Drosophila melanogaster: one gene and its partner. The main gene of each other region encodes a partner of the protein of the gene in region 2 in a complex. Each region holds a gene or a part of one and is shown on either strand. Other genes may lie near its edges. A codon is read from its position in the direction of its gene.

The links. The genes of interacting proteins can lie anywhere in the genome.
Region 1: the proteins of ftz (region 2) and ftz-f1 are in contact, whole or in part, in a crystal structure (PDB 2XHS), measured with the Drosophila melanogaster proteins. Residues at the interface, in NP_477498.1 of Drosophila melanogaster: Ser107 (codon at 2,988), Thr108 (codon at 2,985), Leu109 (codon at 2,982), Arg110 (codon at 2,979), Leu112 (codon at 2,973), Leu113 (codon at 2,970), Thr114 (codon at 2,967), Asn115 (codon at 2,964); in NP_524143.2 of Drosophila melanogaster: Phe842, Val845, Arg849, Val859, Asp860, Gln862, Met863, Leu866, Leu1016, Glu1019, Met1020.

Annotation. Positions count from the first base shown.
Region 1 is NT_037436.4:18,798,019-18,803,805, reverse strand, and holds the start of ftz-f1 (ftz transcription factor 1), read left to right. Parts: upstream 1-2,496; 5' UTR 2,497-3,698; intron 3,699-4,950; 5' UTR 4,951-5,074; coding exon 5,075-5,787. Other genes in the region: CG14073 (uncharacterized protein), read left to right, coding at 76-743, 809-1,024. UniProt on the Drosophila melanogaster protein: Acts as a cofactor to fushi tarazu (ftz). Facilitates the binding of ftz to DNA. Binds the sequence element 5'-YCYYGGYCR-3' in the zebra element of ftz. Probably functions as a nuclear receptor for a yet unknown ligand.
Region 2 is NT_033777.3:6,861,913-6,867,699, reverse strand, and holds ftz (fushi tarazu), read right to left. Parts: upstream 3,377-5,787; 5' UTR 3,307-3,376; coding exon 2,559-3,306; intron 2,412-2,558; coding exon 1,927-2,411; 3' UTR 1,456-1,926; downstream 1-1,455. UniProt on the Drosophila melanogaster protein: May play a role in determining neuronal identity, may be directly involved in specifying identity of individual neurons. Required during embryogenesis for the process of body segmentation.

The DNA of each region.
Region 1 (5,787 bases), on a different chromosome or scaffold from region 2:
TGCCATTGCATACAATTAAGGATAAAACTAAAATATGAATGAATTTGAACTAAACCATGCATTAATCTCTTCCAGATGCTAAGGAGTATGGTTATGATATATTCAGTAATGTACCGAATACAGCTTGTGATATGAGCAGAGCTCTACGTAAAGAAAGGAAGGAGGCCAAGCAGCAGAGGATGAGCAGCAACAGTGACAGGACCAGCAACTTGAATGGTCTGTTAGCGGAAAAAAAGGAGGAGCAGAAGCCCGAGGATTTGGACCAGGATCGGGTGACAACAACGATCAAGCAGAACGGGGAGACGAGTGCAACAAAGACTGGATCGGCGACTACGACGACGGCAACAACGATGGTTAAATTGGAACTGGGAACCGACGAGGATAGCAATAACAATAAGAACAACGAGGAGCTGAATGCTAATGTGGAAAATAATTTAGTAACAAGCGTTGTGAATGTCAAGAATGAAGTGAAGAAGGAAGTGGAAGCTGAAGCTGAAACAGAAGCGGAAACGGAAACGAATGCGAAAGCAAATACGAATAGTAGCACTAGGCTAGACGAGGATCAGACGGACATCGAGACAATGGATAGTGAATTGAATGGTGATATTTTTGAATTTGAAGAGGCCGATGTGCCCTTGCCACCACTGTACTTGCTCAAAGACGAGGGCAGTGATAAATGGGTACTACTCAATGATTTGTGCAATTTACTTAAAGTTAAATCGAAGGATACGTTGCTTAACAAGGTATGTGCCATTTAGATGCGATATTTAAATGAACTTATAACAAAATCTTGTTATTTTTTTTTTAGCTCTGTCCGAACAACAGCAATGCCTTGGCCAGCAGTCAGAAGCACCTGCTACGGGAGTTCAAGATAGATGATTTCCTGGAGAAAGCCACCTGCCTGCAGCTGTTGTGCGCCGGTGAAAAGCTGAACATGTTCAGTTCGTCGAAGGTTGTGCTCATCAAATACAACGACAGTGTACGGAACTTGTTGGGCGTTAAGACCATTTTAATGAAATTTTAACCGAGATATCTTTAGCGATTGGACGGGGCAAGATCCAGAAAGATATAAATTAGATAATGATGAATGGATGAGCATAGTACTAACTGAACATAGAGTGTAAAGTGCAAACAAATATGGAAAAACTATTAGTACGAATATAATAGTAGATTTATATACTATACATATGTATATTTTAGCTAGTAACTAGTTTTTACTCACACGTCTTTGTCTTTGGAAGATAAAGGATTTTATAAAGGAAATTAAATTTAGAGCTAATGCAAAGTGATACAAAGGTGCTATACACACTCAAAACGAAGAAAAAGGAAATGAATGGAAATTTTAGAGCGAGAATATTGAGAAAATCTGGAATCTTTAGGGATTGGCTGCAATTATGCAATAAAAGTAGAAGAAAACAATGCAAGGCAGTTAGAAACGAGGAAACGAACGGAAAATGTATGCCAGCCAATCAGCTAATAAATTGATATATACTTACAGATAAATCTAGGGATGAAGTGTAATCTATGGTTTTTAAAAAAACAAAACAATCTAGCTAAAGTATAAACTAAATAATAATTATTGTAATAATATTAAAGAAGCAACAAAGGCGTATTTATGTATTATGTATTTTTAAATGAAATTATTAACATAATATATAAAGTATATGTATACACAATATGATCCAACTACAATGTAAATCAATTTTCAGATAGGTTTGTAATTTTCTATGTAATGTACGTGTGTAAGTTTTGTGCAACTATAAAAGGAAACCACAAAAAACTGAAGAAATTTAACAAAAAAAAAAAAACTAATAATGAAAAACAAAATAAATGCAAAGTGAAATTTTGACAATTTAAAAGTGCGGTTTCACTTCAAAATTTTAACAATCTCCTGGCATTTGAAAACAAATATCGATCCAAGCTTTTATTAAACGATTCTTCAAAATTGGTTTAAAAGGTTATTTATATATAATAATAGATGACTGAACAGGTAAGGTCTTAGATAAGTACTTAAATATACTTAGAGGGCCCATTCTTTTGAAAAAGTATAATTATATCTTGTGAATATTTAAATTCGTCTTCTTCTTTTCCTTTTAAATTTGCAATTATTTGAACTAGATAATCTCATTGTATTTTTTATTGCTTATTAAAATTTATGTAATATTTCATTGACAAACCGCCACAGTTTTGAATTTACGATCTATCGATAACTTGGCGATAGGTTCCGGCAGATGTCGCTCTCAAAAGCTCGCCGCACGAGCGGTGCGCTAAACGCGGGTGTGCGTGCATGTGAGTGCTTTCAGCTGAAAGCTTTCCGGTTTTCATATGATTGCCGTCCTTGTTCTTCAAACGATTTTTAAAGGCCAAGAATGCTGCCTCTCTGTCCTTGGCCCCGCTCTTCGCTCCGGTGATCCAACACTATCCCGACCGCGCATGTGTGTGTGCGTGTATGCGCGAGGGCTTTCGGTCTTCTTCTACCTACGCCAACAAACTTTTACTGTGTGTTGTGTTCCCGTTCGAGTTCGACCTAATTTCGCTCGAGACCTAATTTTTGCGTGCGGAATAGTTTTTCCCGAAAAAGTGAAGCCAGCGAATAAACAATAGCTGAAAGTGAGCGATAGCCAAGAAAGTAAGAGTGAAAGTAAACAAAAGCGAAAAGAAGAACAGCTCTGGCGTTAATTATGTGTGTGTACATACGTATATATTTAATATTTCCGATGCGTCCATAACGGGAGTGTGTTCTGGTTTCCAATCGTCGCCCGCGCCCCCGTCATTGCCTATCCGTTTACCAAACCCCAATTTTGGTGTGCAATTGTGTATAAAAATTAACACAAAGTGGGAAGATAGCGTTGTGTCATAGAATTGGAGCAGAAGCAAAAACAAGGCAAAATTAGCAAAAGCCAAGCGGAAAAACAACAACACAGAGTGCCCAGTGGAACCCCAGTACATGTGTGTATATATGTATGTGCGGTGCGAGCGTGTCAGTGTGTGCGTAGCAGGAATTGCAATTTATAGTTGTTGTTTCTGAGAGCTTTCGCTTGTTGCGCGCGTGCGACGATTGTGCAAGAAGTTCTTGGTGTGCGTTCGAAATCGGGAAGAGGAAATCGCCGAGAATAGAGGAAGAGTAAATGGCAATAAATGCAAAATAAATAAAAGAAATAAATAAAAAAAAATATAAATAAATTGCCAAATGCGTTTGGCGTCGCGTGTGTGTGCGTGTTCTGAAATATGCTGAAAGAGCTTTCGGAGAGCGAGAGCAAAAGAGAACGAGACGCCGAGAGATGCGATCGGGAGAAATAGCAACAACAACAACAACGGCAACAGCGACTACGATCGGCGAAATGAATCACACACAAGCTTTGTTTTGCGAATTATAAATTCGCGTTCCGTTCTCCACACATGCGAATTCCCACACTGAGAGCGAGACAGAGACAGCGAGAGAGAGGGAGACCAGCTACGGCTACAAAAACAGAAACAGCAAGAAGACCAAGACATAATAATAGAACTTTTGCTTTCGCTTCCAACTGGTTTTTGTATACATAAAAAGCGAGAGGGGAAGAGACGGAGAAAGAGAGAGACGGACAGCTTCCAGCGCTTCTTCTTCTTCCGCGATCTTCGTCTTGGAATTCATGGAACCGGGCGCATGCGCAACACACAGAACTACAAAAGGAAAAACAACGACGTCAGCTGCATGAAAGGTAAATTCTCAATTCTCCCCGCTGCACGACTTCCTCTCGCTCACCTTTTACCCCCCAAAAACCTCCTTTTCCATTTTGTCTAGTTGGGTGAGCTTTATTTTACTGCACTTACCATCTTTAATGGGAAGTAGGAGCACGGAATGAAATACAGTTTTGACACGAATTTGATTTAAAAACCATCATTATAAGAAAACTTTTTAAATAAAATCACCTTTTTGTTTGTTTAAATAAATTTTACTGGGATCATTATATATATATTTTTTACAAAAATTAATGTGGTTTTAAAAATTTGGATAATAAACTGAAAATTGTATCAGCAGTTTATAGCTTTTTATAGTTTTTTTTTATACATTTTCTCGTATTTTCCACTAAGATATTTTTCTTTTAAAATATTAAATATAAAGTTAATGTCATTTGCTCAATTTTTTTCCGTGGATTACCCGAGGGTTGGTGAGATTCAAGCACGAAAAGTGAAGAACTTGAAGTCGAGTGAAGTTAATTAAAGTATCGTTAAAAAGGGTAACACAGGGCTTAAAAAAATGGGGGAATCTTTCCAGTTGTCTGTTTCGCGAACTGGAAAATTACTGTAAATGGGGGAATAAACAATTTAGCGTGTTAATTTTTAAATGGATTTTATCTACTCGGAAAAAATAATTTGGTTAAAGATGCTTTTAATGCATTAACTTTTTTTTTTTTTATTAATTTTTGTAATCTTGTAAAACAATTGCATTTTTAAAAAAACTTTATTTTTCAATTTTTAAATTAAAGATTCTCGACGTCTATTTTGAAATTTAATTTTTAAACATCGGTTTATTGGTGAAATTGCATTGATACTGATAAAAATAGTTTAGGCACTCCTAAGCTCTACGGAGGTATATATTGTGGACTTTCGACGATTTAGTTAAAAACCCTAAACAATAATTAAATAGTAGAATTATAAAAAAACTGAAATATAACATAATAAATTGGGTGGACATTGAAGTGGTACAGAAAAAGCTTTGAAAGCTTTCTCTCCCCACAAAGAGTTGACCTTGGCCTGCTTCAAATACCATTAGGCCTTTCCTTGGCCCACATTCTCTGCGACCTGACCTTCAACCTGACCTTGCATTAACCTAGGCCTTTGAAATCCTTGTCCTACTTCCTGAAAATTAATATTTATTACTAGAACGGATTGATTTTTGGTTTAGACGGCTTTAAAAACGCTTAGAATTTTTTTTTGATTACTAATAATCTGCTTTATTACCATTTTCAGGTCTTTAAAGCAATTATAAACTTACAACTACTATCGTTACCTGCCATTAAGAATCAACAAAACAAATACCACACATCACAACGAAACGTACAAAAAATAAAAGTTAAATTATATTATTCATAAAATGGATACCTTCAATGTACCTATGCTGGCGGAGAGCAGCAACACCAACTATGCAACAGAAGCTACCAGCAATCATCACCACCTGCAACATCAGCATCAGCAGCAACATTCACATCAGCAGCAGCAGCAGCAGCAACTCCTAATGCCCCATCATCACAAGGATCAAATGCTGGCGGCGGGCAGTTCGCCCATGCTGCCATTCTATTCACACTTGCAGTTGCAACAGAAGGATGCAACTGCAACAATAGGACCTGCAGCAGCAGCAGCAGCAGTTGAGGCGGCAACAACATCGGCAAATGCCGATAACTTCAGTTCATTGCAAACGATCGATGCCAGTCAACTGGATGGAGGCATCTCCTTGAGCGGCTTGTGCGATCGTTTCTTTGTGGCCAGTCCAAATCCCCACAGCAATAGCAACATGACACTAATGGGCACTGCCACAGCTGCAACAACTACCACTACCAACAACAACAATAATAACAACACTAACAATAACAATAACAACAACGTGGAGGCTAAGACAGTGAGGCCATCGAACGGCAATTCGGTGATCATCGAATCTGTGACGATGCCATCGTTTGCCAATATTCTATTTCCCACCCATCGCAGCGCCAACGAGTGCATTGATCCCGCCCTGTTGCAAAAGAATCCCCAAAATCCAAATGGCAACAACAGTAGCATAATTGTGCCGCCCGTCGAATATCATCAATTGAA
Region 2 (5,787 bases):
AATCCTAGCTTATACGGAAAAACTTTTAGCTGTTACATACTTTTCAACGGATCAAGTATACCCTTTTCTAATACGCGTAACGGGTTTAATAAAAGTTGACTATTTAGAAAATATAAATACTTCGTTGACTTATATTTCTGACGCATACTGTATTTGCCAAGTAGTTTGTATTGTAGATATGTATGTCACTGTAGGGCTTTTTTACCCAACCACCATCGTTTATATATTTATGGCCTAATTATATAATTGCAAAAATGCCACAAATTCGAATTTGCAAAGGGATTCTTCCGTTTTCGGTCTTTTGATTTATATCTGTTAACTAATTTGTCTGTCATAACTACATTCTAGAAGGGTAGGATAGAATCTGATCTATTGAAGGTCTGTTCATTGTTAAATATTTATTTTATAAAATATTTGAACAAAATGTACATGGTTTCCAAATCAATTAAGTAGCACATTGAAGCCATCTAAATCATTAAATCAGACAAAAAATTTCTTTCGCAGCGGCATAGATACATATCACCACTAAGCTTAACCAATGCCACCAATTCGCACCTAACACTAAAGTGCCCACAGATGCCACTTCGAACTCACCCACCGACCACTTTTGTCTAATGAGTCGGATAAATGGTGCCGGGATATATTCGACTGCACATGGATCCCCTTTGCCTTTGATATTGATTCTGATTCCGAATCCGATTCCGCACCGGGCTTTTCCTTTTGCGTTGCGTTACCCATAACTGTCACGGATGTGCAATGAAAAATTACCAATCAATGTCTCACTTCAATAGAGGAACGTGCAGCGGCGGAGGGAGGAAGGGAGCAGGGATGCGGTGGTAGATATGCCCCGAAGCCAGACCAAAATGTGACATTTTCTCTGGCGAAAAGAGTGCATTTAATAGAAAATCCGGGAGATAGCAATGGGTCAGGGATGAGGGGGACTGAAGCGACAAAATGCAGCTGCTCGAATTTGTACGATTCGTGCTCAACATTAAATCGTTTGCGTTTCGTATAAGTTCGAAAGTAATGCTTCAACCATGTGCAATTCATCAGAAAGTAAACCAAGAGATCTCTTAAGCTTCTCAACGAACAATTAAATATTAGGCTTATACTTAAATAATTTAAACTCCTTAACTCCTAAACTCCATTTTTATCATATATATGTATTATATGCATATATAAGGTATGAAAATAGGCTGAAGGTAAACTTTGCCTTGTGATATGTTTTCGGTGAAAGTAGTTAGACAAATACCATACGTTGATCCAAACTATTTTAAGAATTTATTGAGTAGTTATCATTGAAAGGCATTTAATTTTATTTCAACACATATACATATGAAATGTATTCCACATACGCGGCCCACGGCCTATAAATTTAAAATTTTAAAGCAGTCAAATTGCAGCATGCCCAAGACTCTTCTTCACAAATTGCCAAATGAATGTTCAACTTGATTTGTTTAAATTCGATCGATTTACTTTACTCGTATATTTAAATAAATAGAATTCTATGATAGGAATATCTTAACTACTATATGTACAAAAACATGTGTGTCAGTCTCCAAGTCTCTTGGCCATTATCACTCCCAGCTGAGTGTTTTGGGCTTGTGTTTGGCCGCAGCTAATCGATCGCTGAGAACCCATCATGGCCAGCCACTGGGTTCCGCGCGCAGCAAGGCTCCTTTTCTGTTTGCGCTGCCTCTTTTGCCTCTGCCTTCTGCACTTGCGCACTCGTCCTTGTGCCCAAAATGTCCTGGGCACCGTAGGGAGTGCGCCCTCTACTGTGCAACTCATCGCGTCGCAGCTTCGTTCTCGGCTGTGTCATTTGCGTGTCACCTACAAATGGTCGAGAGAAGTGCGCTTCGGTTTCGTGGCGGTACGGCTTTCGGTTCCGCTCTGGGGAAGAGAGTAACTGAGCATCGCCGGACCTCAAGACAGATGGTAGAGGTCCTGTGGATGTTGCTGGTAGCTGCACTGATGTTGGTACTGCTGCGGGTAGGCATCGTACTGCTGGTGGGTCTGCTGCTGAGGGTAATCATTGAGCAGGCCATAACCATGACTGTGACTGTGGCTGTAAGCGGGGTAGGCGGCGGTGGTTTGGTGGTGGTGGTACATGGGCACTGGCACCGATGGTGCCCCGGTGGTGGCGGTGCTTGTGGCCTCCAGTGGCGGCAGCATCGCGGTGTAGCCGGCACCACAGTGCTCCGGGGAGCTGTCCAGCGTGCGATCCTTCTTCGACTTCATGCGTCGGTTTTGGAACCAGATCTTGATCTGCCTTTCGCTCAGGCTCAGGGCATTGGCGATATCGATGCGACGACGCCGGGTGATGTATCTATTGAAGTGGAACTCCTTCTCGAGCTCCAGGGTCTGGTAGCGGGTGTACGTCTGACGGGTGCGTTTCGAGTCTTTGCAATCTGTAAGCATAAGCAAAGAAAAAATGGGTTAGCTAATGAGTTTTATAACTGCGTATTGTTTGAAAATATCAAAAATGTATACAAAAACATATTTTCAATATTTTCAAAGTGTATTTTTAGGGGTTGTTAATCGTGTGTGATGCCTACCTGATGCCAAAGTCTCCTCGATGTGCGACCAATTGAAATCGCCGGCTCCATTCGGGGCTGTCACAATTCGATGATTGATCTCCTGGCTGACAGCTGACGAGGATTTCTCCCCCGGCGATTGGGGTGGCGTGCTGATGCCTTCGAGGGGCGGCAGAGAGGTGGGCGTGGTTGGCGGAGGGGTGGCAAAGTCGCCATTCTTCAGCTTCTGCGTCTGCGACTGGGGCGAGTAGACGTCCAAGTAGTCGACATCCTCGGAGGCGCTGGGCGTGGGCACAGTCACGTACTCTTGGTCGTAGCTGGGAGCGGGGCTGGCGGTGACCTTGGTGCTTACGGCGGGAGCCTTCTTCACCTGCTCGACGGTTGTGTAGAAATAGTCGGGGGTGTACTTCAGCTTCTTCACGGGATTGGTGAGCAGAGCCCTCAGTGTGCTGGGTCGCTCCTCCACGGCGGCGATGATGGAAGCAGCATCATCTTCGGCCTTGCGCTTGGTGGCCTTGGGCGGCGGGGTGGTGGGTTGCACGGGCGGTACAGTCTGGGTGGTCACCTGCTCCTGATTGTTGTAGTAGTAGCAGCTCTCCGAGTAACTCTCCTGGGGATAGTAGCCCTGATAATTGGAGGTGTTCTGATAGTAGGCATTGCTGCCTGAATTATCGTAGTAGGTGGGCGGCAGGCTGTGGGGGTGATACATGTTGTACATGTTCATGTTGTCGGCGTAGCTGTAGTGGCTCTGGCTGTTTGTGGTGGCCATATCGGATGTGTATTGCTAGATTTCTTCTCTAACTCTGCGATGTGCACGCAACGCTGGTGAGTTTGCGAATGAGCTGGTCCTGCGGCAGATCCTGCATATATAGCAAAATCAGAGAGCCCTCGGCACACGCTCGCCGTTATAGCGCATAAATATCCCTGCGCATGACACTTTGCCGCCTGCTGTTCGCAGCCACCCCTCCGGCGAAATGTCCTTGCAGGCACGGAGAGGGGAAGTTATCCGAGGTCCTGGCAACTTTATCCGTACGGTGCCTACCTGCTGCGCGGCTTATTACCTACCCATCGCGCCCATTATCATCGCGATTTATCCGCCCGCGCGCTTCTCCTACTCGGCGACCTTGAGACGGTGCTGCAGTAATTACGGCCATGAGGTGCCTACCTATGAGGTGCGCAGAGCGAGAGGGCGCGACTCTCAGCCGATCTCCCTCTAATTGCAATAATCATAAAGACATAAAAACTGTAAACTGTTGCTGAAAACGTTCCTTCGGGGCAGAGGCTTTTTCCCCGGCCCGTTTATGGTTCCCTAAAAATTTCTCTGGATTTTTGCCAGCGCGCAAAACACCGAAGACTGGCTGCCAGTTGTTCCCGGAACCCGATGCCCTTTCCCTCCGAATTTATTTCGTGGCACTGGGCGGCCAAAGGATAACATTACGTCCGATCCCTGGGATCAGGAATACGCGTGGCCGAGGGTCGCGTGTTTGCGCTTTTTGTTTGCCCTCGTGGCCAAGCAAGTGCGCAACTCCCGATTCCCAAACTCACTCCTGTGCCCGGTATTTGCCTAAAAACCAACAAACGCACTTCCAAAATGACTAGTAAACAGTAAAAACTTTATGCAAACATCCTTTGCCTAAATTTTAAAAATATGATATAAATTATATGCCCGCTGATTTTTCAAATGAATACTAGTTTTATTTTATTTTTTACGTTATACTTTTAAAAATGATTCTATAACAGCAGAAAACCAGCAATATTTTAATAGCATAATATTGTTGAGAATATAAAGCTTTTACGCTTTTTTTCGGTAACTCTGTGATATAACCCTCAAGTTTTTATAAATTTTAAGTAGGTTGTCTATGGATGCTGTAATTTTTAATGGCCAAATGGTAATGTATCCTTTGTGAGTGGTAATCTTGAGTTAAATTTGTGGCACAAAACTTGCACAGCGTAGGATCTTCATGTTTAATTATAACATTATAGCTCTTATACTTATACTTATATGGATCAAGAATATATATACTTTGTAGCACTGCAATTGCTGCCTTCTACCTGTTACATTCATTTCAGTAAGGGGTAAGAATGCCACAGGCTTCACGATTTACTATTTCTCATTCTTTTAGAAACTGAAGGTTATTTCTGGTAATCTAAAAATCTACTTCCATCTTAGGTTCGCGTATAACCTGAAATCAGCTCAGCTAAATTGACTGGTAAAAAACAATCATCTCTCAGCCACTTTTGTGTTTACATGACTTTCTGATCGGCTTACGCGGCCTGGATAAATTTTATTAGCCACCCCCGTTGAACACCCCTAACATATCGATACTCCTGACATATGTGTGCATGTGCGAATTCTACCCTTACCCCATCCGCATACTCTGGCAGATTCCATTGTTCCACAAAATTTATGGCGTTTTTCAGTTTGACAGAAGAGACTGCAGTTCGCATCTCTCCGATGTCCTGTGATTGCTATATTGCCAGTGAATGTGAGCCTCCTTTCTGGTTTTGCAGTAAACTTAACAATAAGGGTGTAGAGTAGGATATAAAACCATCCGATAACTTATGTTTATATCTATCAATCAAAGAAAGGAAAAACAGCTCCCCAAAAATAAAATTCTTTCGATACCGAATCATTTACTAAAATAATTTCATCTCATTTTATTTAAATATTGTTAGGATCCTTTTTTAACGCAATAAATAAGGGCGAGGGCTACTACTTTTGACTAGGTCTTTGAATTTAGATATATACTTATTGAATTATACCTTAAAAAGATTAATTAGTTGAATTATTTTACATGAACATGGCCTAAGATTTTAAACTAACTTGTCTAGCTGTTTATGAATGGTTTGTTTTTGTAAATATTTAATGATGGGTTTACGTGGCATAAGGGCACTTAACTTTTTCACTTTCGAACGATTGGATTTCACAAATTCCTCTGTTAAGCTTAATCCAAACCTAGCACATGGTCATATAATACTTTGCCCACCCGGTTCTCCACGGAAATGCAGCGAGCTCAGATCCAGAACCCAGGCAACTTTAATTGAGTTGTAAGGCCCACATGCGAGTGTCCGACCACAACACACCCCATCGCAAGTCCGCACCCAAACCCAACATAGAATGCGAATCCGGAGCTCGTCCCAAGAACTCGTGCGATTTTATTGTCGAATTAATAAATTACCTTGACAGTGAATCGGGACCATCCCATTGTGCCCGACTAGCTGCATGTCCCATGTCCCTTATATCCTTTGG